Alligator mississippiensis: one gene and its partner. The protein of the gene in region 1 purifies or fractionates together with the protein of each later gene. This does not show direct contact. Links are inferred from orthologs where the notes say so. Each region holds a gene or a part of one and is shown in the gene's direction. Other genes may lie near its edges.

Evidence for each region.
Region 2: the proteins of VPS45 (region 1) and RBSN purify together in Homo sapiens (affinity purification with mass spectrometry; 4 studies listed by BioGRID and IntAct, counting the BioPlex papers as one, with this or other methods). This does not show direct contact. The link is inferred for Alligator mississippiensis from reciprocal best matches to the Homo sapiens genes VPS45 and RBSN.

Annotation. Positions count from the first base shown.
Region 1 is NC_081838.1:18,213,790-18,223,369, forward strand, and holds the start of VPS45 (vacuolar protein sorting-associated protein 45), read left to right. Parts: upstream 1-5,417; 5' UTR 5,418-5,602; coding exon 5,603-5,695; intron 5,696-6,744; coding exon 6,745-6,879; intron 6,880-9,580. Other genes in the region: uncharacterized protein LOC109282924, read right to left, coding at 1,594-1,660, 1,811-1,859, 2,776-2,811, 4,412-4,457. UniProt on the Homo sapiens protein: May play a role in vesicle-mediated protein trafficking from the Golgi stack through the trans-Golgi network.
Region 2 is NC_081835.1:15,631,720-15,640,471, forward strand, and holds the start of RBSN (rabenosyn-5), read left to right. Parts: upstream 1-5,143; 5' UTR 5,144-5,246; intron 5,247-5,696; 5' UTR 5,697-5,786; coding exon 5,787-5,949; intron 5,950-8,752. UniProt on the Homo sapiens protein: Rab4/Rab5 effector protein acting in early endocytic membrane fusion and membrane trafficking of recycling endosomes. Required for endosome fusion either homotypically or with clathrin coated vesicles.

The DNA of each region.
Region 1 (9,580 bases):
AGAAGCATGTAAAAAGGAGCTGGAAAAATGTCAGTGAGGACTGAGTAGGGAAGAATTTCAGTTGAGAAGAGAAATACCTGTGGTATATGTTGCAGGAAAAGTAGAGGAGGTTCTGGCTAGTTAGCTCTGTGGGGTAATCTTTTGCAAAAAAAGTACTGAAACACTTGAAGGAATGTCTAAAGGGGCTACAAATACAAGTTTTGTGGTGAGCATAAGATATTTGAATTGCATTTTATTTGTATGGGCAAAAGGATTCCTATTAAAAGACCCCAAGGGACACGCCTTAGCTCTTCTAACTCTAAAAGAAGACTGGAAATGAGGAAGAGCCCAGGTGTGTATTTTAGAAACAGTGTCAGAATTCTTATAGATAACTTCTTCCCTGGATGGTGGGGACTTAAACATGACCTGGTCGGGAGGACTGAGTCACAAAAGCAGCAGAATATTAGAGCTGGAGGTGTCAATTGGCAGGGGATGCCACGTGTGGGCAAAATCTGCAATACCCTGTCCAATCCAGAGGGAAGCATTGTGTGGTGAAAAGCCCCTTCTTCCAAAAACACACGTGTTCTTGCGAGGCTTATTACTGCAATGTTCCATGCGTAGTAATGCTATGTTACAAACAAATCTGGGTGCCTTGGCTTCATGCAATTGCTGAAACTGAAAACTAGGATTATAAAACTGCTGCTGTTTGCATCATTCTAGAGATGCTACAGAACTTTTCTCTTTGTCTCCCTTTCTTTTGTTTTTCCTCATGGAAGCATCATGTGTTTATGAAAGTAGGGGAAGAGAGGAAGAAAGGCATCTTTGGCTTGTACACTTAAATCATAGAAATTGAAGAGATCTACTTTCATATTAATTGTATACATTTATTGTTATCCCCTGAACACACAAGTCATTTTTACCAAAATAAGATATTGTACATGTCCCAAACAAGTACTGATTTATTGTAGTGCAGAAGCAGACAACATTTAAGTGGCATTGTGCTAGACAGATAAGACAAACCCCTAAATCAGTCTACCTCAACCCTATCCAGCGGAGAATGATCAGTTATACCTGCGTGAAAAGGATAAAATGCATACTAATATAAGTTGCATCAATTTAGGTTTTGTTTGGGTTCAATCCAGGGTTGCCGTGTGATAAAGGCTAATGTGCTGTTACTTGATCATGATTTCCATCTAGTGGCAAGGGACAGTAATAGCCTAGTACAGTTGATTCCTTCCTGTTTTTGATCCCTGTATATCACTGGTATATCAAACCGATGTAGATTATACAGGAATTTGCGTGTGCTTGTTTTCATAGCTGCAGATTAACTATGTAAAACTGAAAACAATATAATTCCTCCACTCAGCTATGCAGTTATATCCATATAAATATACTTACAGTAGTGAACCAGATTCTCGTGAGTATGGGTAAAAAACAGCATCTATTCTAACAGTCACATGATCTAACCATCAGTTTAAAAAGATGCCCCTAACCAGCCTAATTACATGGGCATAATAATTGTAACAGCAGTCCAAAGAGATTCTCATCTACATATGTAAAATTCACTTCTTAGAGGCTAAATATTAATAATATACTGATCAATGTCTTACTTACAGACTGACTGCTGTCTAAAAAGGTACAGATTTCATGGACAAGTCTTTTTCTCTGATCCTTATTCTTCCTAAAAAAAAAAAAAGTGGACATTTTAGACTGTCCATATTTTTGCAACTTATTTTGGTGTATATTAAATGTAAATCAAGCAGAACAAAAGGTAAAACCTGAGCAAGATGAAAGAGATCCTTTTAGTCAGCTTTTATGAGAAGGTACTTACAAGGTTTGCAAATAGCTTTCATTTTTCACCAGCACCTGCTCACCGTTTTCTGTATAAAACATGCAGATATTAGAGGATTACATTTTTATGAATATAATAGCTCTCTTCCAAAATGGTCATATTCAGGAATAATAATAGCAGCAGAACAAATAGCACAGAGACCCACTGCTTCTAAAGACTGTCAAAATCTGGATAGGTTGTAACTGTGCCTATTGTTCCAGGTAGGCAGACCCGGCACAACCCATAGAGATGAACAGGACTCCAGGGGGTAGATCTCTGCAGATGTGTGGATTTAAAGTACAGAATGACTAAACTAAGACCCAGCTGTATTTATAAATACTGTATCTGTTTTATGTTAATTTCTTACAGAAAGTCTATATCACAGTCCAAGGTGAGATTTCACAGCCACTGTAGACATACCAGAGAGAACTTTAAACACGGTACTGATACCGGTATAACCGTAGCAGCATAGAACTGTGCAGGCTGAAGAACCCACCAGAAAAGGGGTAAATACCCAGGTACTTAGCTTTGTACTACTGCAGGTGCCTAGTTTCAAGCCAGCATGGGTACATCTACAATCCCTTGGCCTGCAAAGCAGATGTAACTATAGCTGTCCTGCTGACTTGTGGAAACTCTTTTTGTGCACACAGACTGCATTTACTGATTAATATGCAATCGTTCCAACTCTTACTAGGGTAAATGGAGAAGTGGGTCCAAGGTTTCTAAGCACCTGGATCCTCCAAGACTGACTGTCCTCTCTAATACGGCCTCAAAAAGGAGCTTAGCTCAGCATCTTACAGAATTTGTGGCTGCGTTTTGGATAATATGGTACGATCAACTTTCCCAAATCAACAGTTGAGCCTCATTACTCTGGTGTACATAATACCTGAAAAGATAGCATTGTTGATCTTACTCCTGGCCATGTGATATACCTCTCATAAAGATATTCAAGAGTTGGCACTTACCCTGTTTTTTAAGTAATGGCATTTTGAAAGTGAAACCTGGAACACACAAAAAAACAAAACAAAAAAACCCCCAAAACAAACAAACCTAAAGATGAGCATAGACTAAACCTATTTCCTTCAGTGCATGCTACTATTTTCCTACTTTAAGCCTTCTTTTCCCGCAGTCTGTTTTTAATAGCTAAATGGAAGGAACGGTAGGAAATTTACTTTTTAAGCAGAGGGAAAGGAGAAGATGACGGGAACTTGCCCTTTAGCTCCTACCCACGTCTGGGAGGAGTGCTGCTCTCTCTCAGACCACTGGAAACAGTGACACAAAGCAGTACATCACACTAGCCTGAGACATAGCAGGATTCCTACCCAAACTGTAGCCTTTTTGCCACTATGATGATGTTTTGCACCAGCAAACGCAGCAAACGCAGCCAAGTCTCCAGTGAAACGACAGGGTCATTAGCAGTATGCAGTCACAAACGCTGCCAGTAAACCTTTCAAGTATGGATGTGGCCATAGATCAAAAATGCAATAGCAGTCGTGTACTGTAATACACTTTTCCTGGATAGATCTGAAAGCGATTAAAAAAGGAAAGCAAGCACCATGGTCCTTGTTTTACACCTGGGGGAAATTGAGCCCAAGTGACTCAGCTGTACAGTAAGCCAGTGGCACAGGCAGGATCAAGAATTGGGTCCTACTGTTTTATCCCATGGGATCCTATAATGATGCTGATTCTGCAAGCATACTTAGCTATGCGCCTAATAAAGCTAAGTATACACGTTTCTGCAGGACTGGGGGTCTGCCGTCATCTAGATATCTTATGATGTCTCAAAGTTCACAATTCCCCTGAATGCCAAAAGAAATAAATCCCCAAGATGTTACACTGTCAACAGAAGTATTAGCATCCATAAAATCCCCACGGTTCAATCTTGAACTACAGTAATTATGCAGTATAACCCTGAACTATGGTAGAGCACAGTTTGTCAGCCAGAGCGTCCATGTTTGAACCACATCCCACGCAGCGATTCCTATTTTGGTTTTTTTACACATGGTAACAACAGGATCAGCAGGATGTTAGTGCCAGGAGTCCTGCTGAGTGGGATGTTGGATGCCCTTATGGGAGGGCTCCTAGCAAACTTAATAGAGGCTGAGGGCGGCTGAGACTTCAAGGGTAGATGACAGCAGATAGCACGCACATAAATAATACACAGCCTGACCCAGCTACCCTACCCCAAGGTGGGGAGGAAGCCTGCATCTAACACTGTGCTATGAAACGTCAGAGATTCCCAAGCTGTATTTTGCACACAAAAGCCAGGTCTCACAGAGAGGACAGGCTGAACTTTTTAATGGCCAGGCACAACTTCCAGGAGGGACCTCAACCCTTCCCCTCTCCTAGCTGAGGGAGAAGGAGCCTGGGGCTCATTCCTCACCCCCAGCATCCCCCCTGGTCCAACAAGGCTTGGGACTGGAAACCCCACCCCAGCTCTCCCCTTTCTCTGCTGCAAAAAGATGTTGGGGGCTTTAAATGACCCTCCCCGCTGTATTATCCCAGCTAGGAAGACCCTGACAAACCCCCTCAGCCCTGAGGGGCTGGGGGACACCCCACAACCCTATTATTATTCAAGCCGGGAAGCTGGGAGACCCTCACAGCCTGCCTGAAGACCCTGCCGGTCACCCCAGTGAAGGGGGGTCATGTTTTTATTCCTGACAGGAAACCGGTGTGTCTTGTGGTAGGGGGGGTGAGACCCCTACAGCCCCTCCACCCTCAGACAGGAGACCCATGTGTCTTGTGGCGGTGGGGATGAGACCCCCACCCTGAGGTGTCTGCACAGAGCTCATCCCCAGGAGCGGGCGCACCCCCAGGCGCTGGAGGCGGGGGCGGGGGCGCCCCACTCCTCACCCCTCAGGGAGGAGACGAGGGCCCCGCCCCGTAACGGTCGCGCGGGGGCTGCAACCGCCCGTGGGGGGGGGGGGGGGGCAGGCTGCCTGCAACGCTTGCGAAGGGCGGACTCAATTCGGAGTCACGCCCCACCCCAACCAGCTGCGATGAGGCCCAGGCGGCCACTTCTTTCCCCACCTCGCCTCCCTCCTCAGTGACACTTGCAGAGTGCAAGGAGCCCGCATCAGAGGCTAAATAATAATAATTCGTAATAATAATAATAAAAAAAAGCAACGAGCCCGCACGTTGGGGATTTGATCTGGTGCAACATGGAGGCATAATAATAATAATAATTATTATTATTATTAAAAACGCAACGAGCCCGCACGTTGGGGATTTGATCTGGTGCAACATGGCAGCATCAGGGGCTGCAAATGATCGCTCCGTTTTGTTTTGTTTGTTTTTTTGCAAGAGAGCTATAGGAGTTTTTTTGGGTTTTTTTTTTTTTGAACCCACGAGGAAGGGCTGCCCCCGCAGGTGGTTGCAATGCTGTGCTTTGCAAAACGCCTCCTGTGCAAGACCTCCCCGCGCAGCCGCACTCGCACTCGCACGCGCAGCGAAGGGCTGTCAAGGCTGCCCGAGAGCGCGGCGCACTCAGGCCCGCCCGGCCGGCTGCAGGCAGCGGCAGCGGGAGCGGGAACGGGAACGGGAACGGGAGCGGGAGCAGGAGCAGGAGCAGGAGCAGGAGCAGGAGCAGGAGCAGGAGGCTGGGACTTGTAGTGCAACCCCGCTGCTGGCGGGCGCCGGGCTTCGGCGCGCGGACTACAGCTCCCAGGGCCGCCGCAGGAGGAAGTGAAGCCGATCAGCTGCACCGGGGAGAGGAGCTGCCTGCTGGGCTTTCACCCTTGCAGCGGGGGATCGAGTTGTCGGAGGGGTGGTGGTGGTGTGGGGAGAAGGAAAATGAACGTGGTGTTTGCAGTGAAGCAGTATGTGTCCAAGATGATCGAGGACAGCGGGCCGGGGATGAAGGTCCTCTTGATGGATAAAGAAACGGTGAGCTGGGAGTGCTGGCGGCGCTTCTGCCCTTCCTGAATTGCGGGCTGCGGTTTGCAGAGGGGTTTTTTTTTCTCCACAGCTCCCCTGTGGCTCAGCATCCCGGCTGCCCCTGCCTGAGAAGCAGGGGGACGACTATACTGTCAGAAGGCAGTTTTTCCTGAACTGCTGTTCTGGTGTGGTTTGCTGCCCGCTTGATGGAAATGGGAGTCTCCTCCCTTGCTTGCTTCGAGGGCCTTCTGGCTGAGGGCAAGCAAAACTCGGGGGGCATCCGAACCCTGAGCCTCCGGGGTTGGGCCTGCAAGTAGGATGCCTGCCAAAGGTTTTGGAAACATCTGAAGGCCTAGGAGGATATTTGCCAGTAGTAGCACCACTTATAGTTCTGGAGGCTTGGATTGGGAATTTAGTTTTAGCTAATTTGGCCTTGGGTTGTTTTTTTTAAATTTAATTTGTATCCAACTGTATTATGCTTTCCTTCCTCTCTAATCTTTGGTCTTTTCGGGTGCAGACAGAAGTGCAGCTCTCCTACTTTTCAAGTGCAATATCCCTTCTTCAAGGAGGGAATGGGGTGGGGGGGGACATTTTGCTGGGTCTTTGAGTTGCTGAGGCTACAGACTGCTAGAATAAATGAGAAGGGCTGAGGTGCAAGCAGTTTTATGTTCGCTTTGGAGGGAGATGAAGATCAGGTGAGCATGCAGTGGATGTGGATGCATGTGTTATGCCTTTCTTCACATCCCAATAGATTTGCTACTAAGCTTAATAGGGTCTATTATCGTGAGCTATAAATTCAGCTGAGGCTATATCTTGCACTGAGGCTTCTGGGTTAAAAATACAATTAAAGTGAACCTTACAATTTCCCCATAGAAAACTATGGCCCAGGAATTAAAACTATGTGAAGCAAATCTTTGGCAAGGCCTGGAAGTAAAATCAGGAGGCCTGACTCCCAGTCCTTTATGTTTTAGCCATTAGACACCATTCCTTCGTCTCATCTAGTATGTCATCAGATGGTACCGGTGAGTTGAAATAACGGCTGCTTTCTTTTGCTGCAGACCAGTATTGTAAGCATGGTGTACACCCAGTCAGAGATCCTGCAGAAAGAAGTTTACCTCTTTGAGCGCATTGATTCTTCGAACAGAGAGACCATGAAACACTTGAAAGCAATCTGTTTCTTACGACCCACGAAGGTAAGGCAGTTCCGTCTCCGTGTTTGATCTCTCCAGCTTCTTGATTTCAGCTGAGTGGATCGTGCACGTGTCATATAACACCTCAATCCTGTAAATATTTAGTCACGTGCTTGTCTGCCTATTTCTGAGCCTAAGCTCTCAATTTCAAGTCCATAACATCAGCACAGGGGCATATGCTTGCAGGGTGAGGGTATTAGTTTGCTCATCTGCAAACTTTGCCTTGTCCACTATTTTGGAGATGGCAATCTTCTGTATTTTTCTTTTTTTTCTCTCTCATTTATGTTATAAAGTGTGCCCAAGTAGGTTGTATATCCAGGTGGATACTTTTTTGTGATGGTTTTATAAGAGTGGTGTGCTCTATGGTGCCTGCTTATGAGAGGGTAGGGGGAATTTGTTAAAACTGTTGGGATTATATCAAGAAGGTCACCAAGAATTCCTCATAACTACAGAGAAATGCAAACCTCTAGAACTCTTGGTTCAGAGATGATACCTTTTATTAGACCAACCTTATATCTACAGAGTTTGCTACGTTTTTAGTTTAACTAGTCATCGTACCCATGACTGGGCAGTGGACATTGAGGGCTACAGGCTGTACAGACAGGACGGGGGGGTGGGGGGGGGGTGGTGAAGGGCGTTGTGTTGGCAAATAAAAATGTAGGGTTCTGGACTATCCCAGGGATTGACACGACACCTCGTTGGATGAGTGACAGAATGGCTTTATTTACTACTAGTATTTAAAATCAAGTCGAGTGAGCCCAAACCAAATCAAAGTCCAGTAATTAGCTATAAGGTGATGATTTCTTACCAAACGGGTGATGAAGAGGCGGTCTGTTTCTCTTCAACTTCTCGAGTAAGTCGGGCGTATCAGCAACTGGTGTCAGAGATTTCGCACTCTTGAAGTGCGCATGCTGTTTGCTGTTTTACTGCCTTTTTATACCCTTGCTTTAGCATCTTCAAAGCATTCTTTTAGTTGTGTAAATCAAGAGAGTCCCAGGCAGTAATTGACAGGAAAAACCTGCTCATTACTGGTTATCAGAAATTCCTAATTTGAATGAGTTGCCTTCTTCAGTAACAAGAAGTTATCCAGTTTGAAATTTATCAAGAAACTGATTAACAGCCAGGAAAAACATACTAAATCAGGAGGAGACATCTATTGCATATGGGGAATGTCTCTTCCTGCACATAAACACGAGTTAGTCGCAAAAGAAATATTTACCATACTAATTAATCAAGGATAGACATTTCATATGGTTACACACCAGACAACTAAGAGTCTGCTTGAAATTACCTTGAATATAGCAAGATAAGCTGGAAGAGTTGCTTCGTTATTCCTTCTTAGATGGCCTAGCCATGAACTTGCATCCTCTTGCAATATGCATTTAGTATTATTATTCTGTATTTTAACTTTTGTGAGTAGGCCCAAGCTTAGCACAAGTTTCAGAGTCATCAGTTGCTCTCTATGTTAAGGAGCAATATACATCTTCCGTAGTTAACTTGGGCCAGGAAGAAGGGCAAATTGAGGTACTATGGGTCAGGTTACAGGGGGGTCAGGGTGAAAGGGACATGGTAGTGGGGGGTCTACTACAGACCCCCACACCAGGGGGATGAGCTAGGCCTAGAATTCTCAAGATGGCTCTTAGAGGCAGCACGCTCAAAGAACCTGGTTGTCATGGGTGACTTTTAACTTCCCAGACATCTGCTGGGAGAAATAGGCAGCCAGGTCTGCCCATTCACAAAAGTTTCTAACCTTCTTACAGGACCTTCACCTATTGCAGGAGGTACGTGTTCCCACTAGGGGAAATGCCTTACTAGACTTGGTACTGGCCACAGGGGACAACTTGGTGGGGGATCTGCAGGTGCAAGGTAACTTAGTGACCACCTAAGGATAGTGACCACCTATTGATAGGGTGGCACAAGTTTTGTCTGTCAGCAGCAAGGGGTGCAGGGCCCCAGAACCCCTGCACCAATCTCCTCGACAGCTGGCAGGCTTCATGGCTGCAGCAGGGGCCACCATCCCTGCAGCTGTCACCCCGCTGTGCCTTAACGCATACAGTGTCACCCATGGCATGAGTTTTGCTTGTCCACAGCTTGAGGGGCAGTTTCCCTCAAACCCCTGCACCGATCTTCTTGAAACCTGGCAGGCTTTGTGGCCTCAGCAAGAGCTACCAGCTCTGCAGTTTTGACCTCCCCTGTGTTGTAACACATACATGTGAAAGGAGTTTTGCTTTCAAGAATTTGGGGTACAGTTTCCCCCCCCCCAAACCCTTGCACTGGTCTCGAAACTTGGCAGGCTTCATGCTCTCTGCAGATTCTACCACCCCTGAAAATTTCATCCAAATCGGACAAAAAAACCCAACGTTATAGATATTTTATTGTTTCCCAGTCCTCCCTGACCTTAGGCCTGGCAGTGTTTCTCCTGAGTCCATCTGGAATCCTGGTCGGGGAGTCCTGGTCCCTGCAGAGGAAAATGGAGGCAAAGAATTTGTTAAAGAGGTCTGCTTTCTCCTCTGGTGCAACCACCAGATTGCCAAGCATATCCTGCAGGGGCCTCACATTACCCAGTGCATTCTTCATTCTCCCTATATATTTAAAAAAGGACTTTTTATTATCTTTCTTAGCTGTGTGCATGGTGGAGAGGGAGGGAAAGAGGAAGCTTGGGGGGTGGGAAGAGACCTCTGAACCTTAGCAGATTCTGAAGCCA
Region 2 (8,752 bases), on another chromosome or scaffold:
AGTTGTCAGACAAACTTTCAGGCTTCTATTCCAGATTGAAAATTTGTGTAACATCTCTCCCAACTGTATAGTTGGCCCACAAGAAGATATGACCAAACATACTTTGCTTTGGGAGGTGTTTTCATACCACAGAATAAATCCAGCAAATTGAAACAATCCCTGGCCACTTAGGACTTTAGCCACACACTGTTCCATGGCTATGGTGTTATGCAAAGGAATCAGATCTTCCTTCTCCATAAATATAGGCCCACTGCACTTAAGCTACAGCTGTCACTGTATACTGTTAGCAGTTAGCAACAGTAGGATTATAAAACAGGCCAAGAAGTTCTGCTCTCATCCAGGAGGACTGCTGCACACACAAATGAAACTGGAATATTCTGTGTAGCTTTTTTAAAACAACAAACTGAACATAAATATGTTCAAAGAAGCTGCTACAGAGGTACTTTTCTCAGATGCTGCAAAAGATAAAATGAGCTCAATACTTAGTATGAAAAAAAAACATCCTAGGATAGGAGAGAAAGGTCTAGACGATACCACTGGTATCTGTCAAAATGATTTTAAACTTCAGCCTGGGCATCATTCCAGACACAGACAGTCTGAGAGGAGCTAAAATGGAAACTGAGGCCTAAATTGGGAGCTAGTGTAAATCAATGTACAGCCTATTGGACCCATGCTAATTTACATCTACTGAGAGTCTGGCCCATGACTTCCTGTTATTTACTTCTCTGTGGGTGTGTCTACACAAGATGTTTATTGCACAGTAGACTATTCTAGCGATTTGGGCACAGAGCTGGGAAACAGCTGTGGGGGGGGGGACTCTTAACAGGAGCAGCTTAACACTGCTTCACCAGCAGCCTCCTGCCCTATTCTCCCAATTGAAGCACAGGGCTGGGAAGCACCTGCGGAGGAAGGGCAGATCCCAGCCAGCTCCAGGCTGCGCAGAGCAGTCTCTATGTAGCCCGGAGATGGCTGGGACCTGCCCCAGACCGGGACAGGTCCTGGCCAGTCCCAGGCTGTGCAGGAAAGCCCTGCTGGACACAGGGCTTGTCCCCATGTGCATATGCTTCACTGTGAGCACAGTCCCCTGTATCACAGCCCTTTGACATTTGCATGCAGTAAAGAGGTCCCTGTTTACAAAGAACCTGGGTGTGGGAAATCCAGGATGTGTTGCAAGAAGCAAGAACAACACTTTTTGCAGCATGAGTGTTCCTATTCCACATGATGTACTTGATGTACTTACTGTAGGGACTAATGAGAGTTCCATTAAGGAAAGCAGAGAATCCCCCTTTACGTGAGGTCTATGTCATGCAGTCATCACAGTGGGAACAAACAATTCTAGTTGTAGCAGAGAGTACTTGCCTGAAAACTGTTATCTGCATTTACAAAGAACATTACTCCCTGGCTCAGGGACTCACACTGTCTGTTTAAATGTGTCGTACAATCCAGGATAAATGTTGCATATCAAGTCTACTCTCTTGTTAATCAAACCCACCCTACCTTGCTAGACCATTTATAGTAATTAAACTATGATTTCTCTCTCAGATCTGTCTCTGGTGAAGTCAAATGCATACCCTCAACCCCACTGGCTTGTTGACAGTTGTCTGTGGGACAGCCATCATGCCACTTCTGTGAACATTTTCCAGCACTGTTTTGAGATTGTATCACATGCATTAGAGACAAGACCTGATGCCACACTAAAGGACTTGCAACATGAGGGCTTGTCAAGCCAGGGAATGCCACAGAAGTTAGTGAGAACTAGCAAGGCAGTGTCCAAGTAATAACTACTCCAAACAGGTTACCTCCAAACTGGAGTTTCTTTGCATGGTATTCTTAGTGTAGAATAAGAGCACTCACACAAGGAGCTAATGTGATGTTGCTACTCTTCCATATTAGTTATTCTAGGCTTTTCCCTTATAGAGACAAAGCCTTACCCTGCAACTTCAACACTAGCTGAGCACTCCCAGAGAGAACAAACCACAGGACTAAAGCCTGAGAGCCCAAACCTGCAATCATGACTCACACCCCTAATTATTCACAGGGAATGGTGCTTACTAGAGAAGTGATGTAGTAAATGAGGTCAGACAAGTGTCAGGAAATGGAAGAAGGGGAAAGTCAGCTGTGTATTCATTCACATCCAGATATTAGCCATAAATCTATGCAAGAAGAACCCAGTTGGTTTCAGTGAGATAACTCATAGGTACAGGGTACTGCAAGCATAGGATCAGTGGCCAGGGTTGGGGTTCTAAAGCATATGCGCATCTTGATGGCTTTATACAACATGTCATTCAAAAAAAAATCTACTCATTTGTCACACTGAAAAAGAAATAACCAGGTTATCTCATCTAATAATAATGTGAGCCACAAGTTTATTAACACATTCCTCAGACTGAATCCCTTTTACATATCACCATTTTCCTTACATAAACCCCAGGAAAAGATATCCTAAAAGCACTTATATAGATGACCATGGATACCAGCAGCAGTATAGATAAGCATTACCTTATACTTAAGCCAATTGTACTGCCTTGGTACAGTGCAGCAATTAACATTCTCTTTCTTCTCTGTCTTTATGGGCTGAGGACATTCTTATGTTTTGAAATTAAATCAATAGCATTATTTAAAAAAAACCCCACTATTCGTGTTCGTAAAACTTTTTGATCAATATGCTCTGTTAATGTAAAGAAGAAATCAAATACACCTTTTAAATACACTAATGGTTTATTATATACAATACAATTTGTTAATAGCATCAGAGCTGCAGTATCATAAGAGGGGAATTTTTTCCTTTACAGCATCATAAAAGTCATCTCTGCTTTTAACAGCAAATTGGTCTTGAGCCTGCATTTTCCATGTTAAAGAGGGAAGTGATTATAAGTGGGATTCTACATTCTTTTTCATAGCTGCCTGGTTCTCTCTGCAAGTAATTGAACCAAGACTGCATTGTTTTGAGAAGTAGAGAGTAATGGATCCAACTCAAATTGGTTATTTAAAAATTCAGCTCCTTTGGTTATTTATAACATTCAATTATTCCTGTGACTAAATCAGGTCAGTTCTGAGCCTTTATTTCCCCCTTATGCTTCTGTAAGATTGCAGTTATGTAACAGCAAAATGGGCCAAATTCAGTGTGATGCAAAAGGTGATGAAAACGATAATGTAGTGTGGGTTGCCCACCTGGATCAGACTGCAGAACAGATACCAAAATTTGATACCAGGTTAGTTTCTAACATGGACTAATTGTTCTTCTTGGCTTTAAAAAAAATGAAAGAGCTGGAACGGTAAGATGTGAACACTGAGCTCTGCATGGGTCAAGTAGAACAAAAATAAGCAGACTGGTACAATACAGAATTCCTCTGATATATCAGAAGTATTACAGGTCATGCGGAGCACCCAGTTCTTGGCCTTTACCAAGTTTGCTAATTAGTGGAAACTGCGGTAGTGAGCTAGGTGAAAATAAGACCCATCAAATTAATCTCACGTGAGGCCACCAAATACCACTTACCTGGGAAGAATTTTAAGTCAAAGGGGAGGTAGGCACTTAACCCTTTGTACCTTGGAAAATAATAACCCTTAACTCCTGTTGGGAGCTGAAGTGGTTTTAAATGACTGACCCTCAGATAAAAAGACTGTTCATAGCAGTGCCCAGAAACATCCTATTTCTTATTAAGTACTAATAATGTAAGAAGGGGTCATATGTCTAGGTCATTTATTCTTAACCAGGGTGAGATTCTTTCAATTCTTTGATGGGTGTAGGAGGTGTGAGATTAGTAGATAAGCACAAGCCCAGGCTTACCCCTGCTTGGCCACACTCCTTTGTCCCTACTCAGCTCCTCTGCAAGGAATAAATAAGTTAGTTTTTGAAATAGGGTGCTGCTCAACTCATAACAATTAAAGAAGCTTTGAGTCTAATGAGGGGTGCCTTGAGCCTAAAAAAGCTGGGAATCATTGGTCTAGATCAGCGGTTCCCAATCTGTGGTACACGTACCATCAGAGGTACTAGGGTGGTCATCACAGAGGACAGTCTGGTTGTCCTCTGTCCTCTATTGAGACGAAACCCGATGCCTTTATGTCCTCTATTTTTCTTGAAGAGAAAAATATTTTTTTATTTTTCTATTTTTCTTGAAAAGAAAAATAGAGAACATAAAGGTGTCGGGCTTTGTACCAAAGAGGACAGAGTAGCAGAAAACCAGAATGTCCTCTATGATGGCCACCCTAAGTGGTATGCAGACAACCTCTCAGTGGTACGTTAACAGATTGATTATAATTACTTTATATGACAAAAATTTGCTGGTGGTACTTCATGTTGTATCGTTTTAAATTGGCCGCATGCAATCTGTCAGTTTGGGAACCGCTGGTCTAGGTAATATGCAGTAGTACAACACAGGCCTCTTCCAGGTGAAATAAAGCAATAACTGTATCACTAGGGAGACATGATGCTCCTACCTTGAGGAACAAAGTGGGATCTACGCTAGAGAGAGCAGGGCCAAACATACAACTTTGTGGGGGGGCTCTGAGAACGAAACCTGTCGGGCGTATTAGAAACCTCCGGTCTGTTCCCAGCATGCTCAGGTGCGTGGCTGCGAACTGCAGAATTATCGCTGGCAGCCAATGGAAGGGTTGGGCCTAAAACACACGGTCCCACGGCTTGAAACCCACTCCAAACAGGCTACGATCTGGAAATCCGTCTCACAGGAGCACGTGCACATATACACTCATGTTATATGCGAGGCGGTGGCAGGCAAGCCAACTCCGCTACACGTGGTAGGCCCAATTCTCCGGGTCTTCTTCGCTGGAAGCACCCGGCACGCAATTGCATCTACCGGCCGCCTCGTGCCGCCGCGTCCACCTTTGCCGCAGGTGGGCGCGCTCAACCGCCTCGCGCAAACGCCAGGCGTGAAGCGAGCCAGCCCTCCGCAACGCAGCGGTTCCTCGAGGAGGAAAGAAGCCACTGGAGACGTATGGATCTGCCCCCTGGCCTGACACTGGGCCCAGCTGGCTGAGGTGGGGGTGGGCTTCTGTGGCCAATCTCCCTGCGGCGCTGGGCCCCGTGGGCGGGAAGGGCCCAGGCGGCGCCTCTCAGGCCGGGCCGCCCGCACCGGGGCGTGGCCTCGCGCCCCTTTCCCAGCATGCCCCGCGCGCCCATCCATCGCTCGGCGCTCGGCGGCGCGCCCTGCGCTCGGCCCCGCCCTCTCGGCTGTGCTATCGCTGGCTCGGCGCGCCGCTCCCCGCAGCGCTCGCTGGGCCCGGAGGTGAGTGGCCCCCGCAGGCCGGGGGGAGGGGAGGGTTTCCTCACAGGCGGCGCCATGAGGCGCCCGCAGCGGGCGGGGGAGGTGCTGGTCGGGGCCCGGACAGGCCGTGCCTCATCCCGGGGTGGGGCTGGGCCGAGAAGCGAGGCCGGGGGCACGTGGGGGCGGCTCCGCTGCCCCTCCCCCATGCAGGACCCCTCCCCCTGGGGTTTAGGCTGGGCCCAGCACGGGGGGCAAAGGTTTGGCCCCCCTGAGACGAGTCACGTGTTTGGCACCTTCGAGGGGGCACGAAGAAGGTGCCGCTGTCCGGGAGGTCCGCGTCGGCTGTGGGGCTGCCTCTGGTCTCCGGGAGGTCCTGGCTGTAAGCTGCAGCCGGGCTATTCAGATGGGAGAGGGTGACTGGTTCAGCCATTTGTGGGGGGCACAATAACTGCTCCGCGGGTCTCTTCCCAGGCACCACGGACGATGCTGCACCCCGCCCGGGTGCGATGCCGCTGAAGAGCACGGGCCTGGTCGGGTGCCGCTGAGACCCGTCGAGCCGTCATGGCATCGAGCTACCCGCCGCCGTTCGATGACCCCGGGGAGGTGCGAGAGGGCTTCCTGTGCCCACTGTGCCTGAAGGATCTTCAGTCCTTCTATCAGCTTCAGTCGCACTACGAAGAGGAGCACTCGAGTGAAGACCGGGACGTCAAGGGGCAGCTCAAAAGTAAGAGGCGGTTGACGAGTGCTTCGCTACGTCCGGCTCTTGGGTAAAACTCCGTGCAATGACAAACGGTTGTGTTACAGACGCTGAAAAAGAGCCTGAAGTTTCAAATGGCTAAAATACTGATTAAAATGAGTTAGGAGGGGGAGGGAGAGCTCATTTTTTGTGTGAGTGGGGAGGCCAAAAAATTGCTGTAGAGTTGCTGATTTTTAAGGAAAAGCTTTTTGTTGTTGTTTACTAACATGTTGGCTGAAGTTAGGCACCTAAATAAATCACTAGACTTCTCAGATACTGAACTACATATATAAGTAGCTCCTATTATATACATAAATAACTCCCATTAGTGCAAACACCAATTCTCTCTTCAAGGACAAGCTTCCCCACCTTCTAGTCAACTGACAAATTCATAGGCTAGTCTTCAATTGACACCCAGGGAATTTGCATAGATAACTCCTATTATATACATTGATAACTCCTATTAGTGCGAACAATTCTCTCTTTACTGACTTCAGTCACAAAGGCCAGTATTTCCATTTTGAATATACTGTATTATATTTTCAAAATGGAAATATACTGGCCTTTTGTTTTTTGTGATTAATCTCAGTAAAGAGAGAATTGGTGTTTGCGCTAATAGGAGTTACCTGTGTATATAATAGGAGTTATCTATGTAAATTCCCGGGGTGTGGATTGAAGACTAGTCTATGAATTTGTCAATTGACTAGAAGGTGGGGAAGCTTGTACTGATCAGTTACCAGCCCCTTTGTTGCTGCGTAATTTGTCTGGGTTTATACCACACTTCTGCAAAGTTTAGAACACTTTTTTTAGTTGGAGATGGTAAAAGGTTTTCTATTTGGAGACGGCAAAAGATTCAGTTCATAGCTTCCTTGCATATATGCTGTTAAATTTAGATAAAATATGCAGAAACAGTTATTTTGTTTTGTGCGTTTTCCTAGAAAGAGGCTTAGCTGTTTTTCCTTGATCTTGAATATTTACTGCTTTTTTAATATAATTATGAGGACCTGTCAAAAGGGCACTTTGACACTGATATGTATTTAATTTTTTTTACTCTTTAAAAAGTCCTCACTTGTTCTGCTTTTTAATAAGCTTATTACAGTTACATTTTTATAAATCTAATTTACTTTTCGCCACTTTTGGCTGCTACTTAGCTTTTTCAGTAGATCTGTCTTCTTGATTAAGTAACACATACAGGTCAGTTTTTCTCTCTGTTTCTTGTGGGCTAAAACAACGCTATAATACCTTAATTGCAGAGTCTGCAATCGAATATTCATACCAAAGAACCAATATCATTTTCCCTGTTTTAAGAGAGAAAATGATTAGATTTTGCGAGCCCCCTCAACACTTTGATATCAAACACCTCAGTGTTGGATTCTACCACGGCCTTTAATTTAGAATTTCATGCTGTAACTGTATTAAAAAAAAAATAGCAGCTTGAAATCTACATTTTTGAAAGATGTTTTTATTTCCTGGCTTTCCTGGCAGTCTTATTCAAACCACGTCCAGTAAAACTCATCCTAGCATAAAAACCAACAAGATGGCTTTTATAATAAATGTAGCATTCACGTTGCACGTCAGAAGTATTTTAAGCAATTTCTTGCTGACATCACTGTGTCTAATTGCAGGTTGGTAAGACAGAAGACTCTTACCTGAGCCGCGTTAATGCCATGTGACTCTCTTGGCTTTAGACTGAAAAAACAAACAAACCAAAAATAAACTTGAGAGGAGCAACATATTGGAAATACGTAGCTCCTGCTGCCATTTACATCCTTATTTCTCTGGTTCACTTAACAATTCTGAGAACTTCCGGATGATTAAGATATTGTCTGAATTGGAGGGAATATCCTTGCTGGGAATTTTGAATGTGGGACAGTGACAAGTAAGGAGTGTGGGGATCCCTCATGGGTCTGTCAGTGTCACATAAGGACAACTTTCAACCTTGCTTCCTCTCCCCTATAATAACAAACAAGCTTCTGTGAGGTTCTGAGTGCTTCCAGCAAGAAAACTAGCACCCTCCACTTTCATTGGCTTCAAGGAGCTGTGGTAGCCAGGAACCTGGCAGCATTAAGCTCCAGATGTTTGTTATTTCTAGGTTCTTGTATATGTTAACACTTCAGAAAACAAAACTCCTTGAGTTTTTGTGTGCAAACTCCTGATACTTTGCACACTGACAGTATCAGGGAGACCCTTGCCCTCCAGGAGGCAAGGGTCTCCCTGATACTGTCAGTGTGCAAAGCTGATTTTTAAAGCCTGTTGTCTGTGAAACGTTTCCTGTTGGTTGTGGAGAATAGGCTGGTGCTAAGGAGATATCACTTACTTTTACACAATAAACTGCTGAAGAATATATTCTTAATATTGTTTTACTTTGTCAGTACTTGGTGTGGTTTCCACAGAGACATTATGGGTGCTGACAGATGTGGAAAAAAGCTCCCAAAAACTTGGTTTACCACAAGAGGCAGTTATTTCGACTTAGCTCTGCAGCATGTGTATAGATTGGGCACTTCAGCAGGGCTTTTTGGTGCTTCTTTCTAAAGCTGATTCAATCAGCTATTAGGTAAAAGCACCAAAAAGCCCTACTAAAGTGCCCGATCTATATAGTTGCACCTGGCTTGCCCATCAGCTAATATGATGCCTTTTCTGGGCATGTGCTGGGCTCGGCATGGGGGCGCATAGAGTTTAAAGTAACCCCCCCCGTTTTGTTTTGTTTTCTTTTCTTTAATGTCTGTAAGCAGCCTACTTGATTTGGAATGAGGAGAGAGAGGCTGCTGTCATGATTGAAATCACAAGTGGT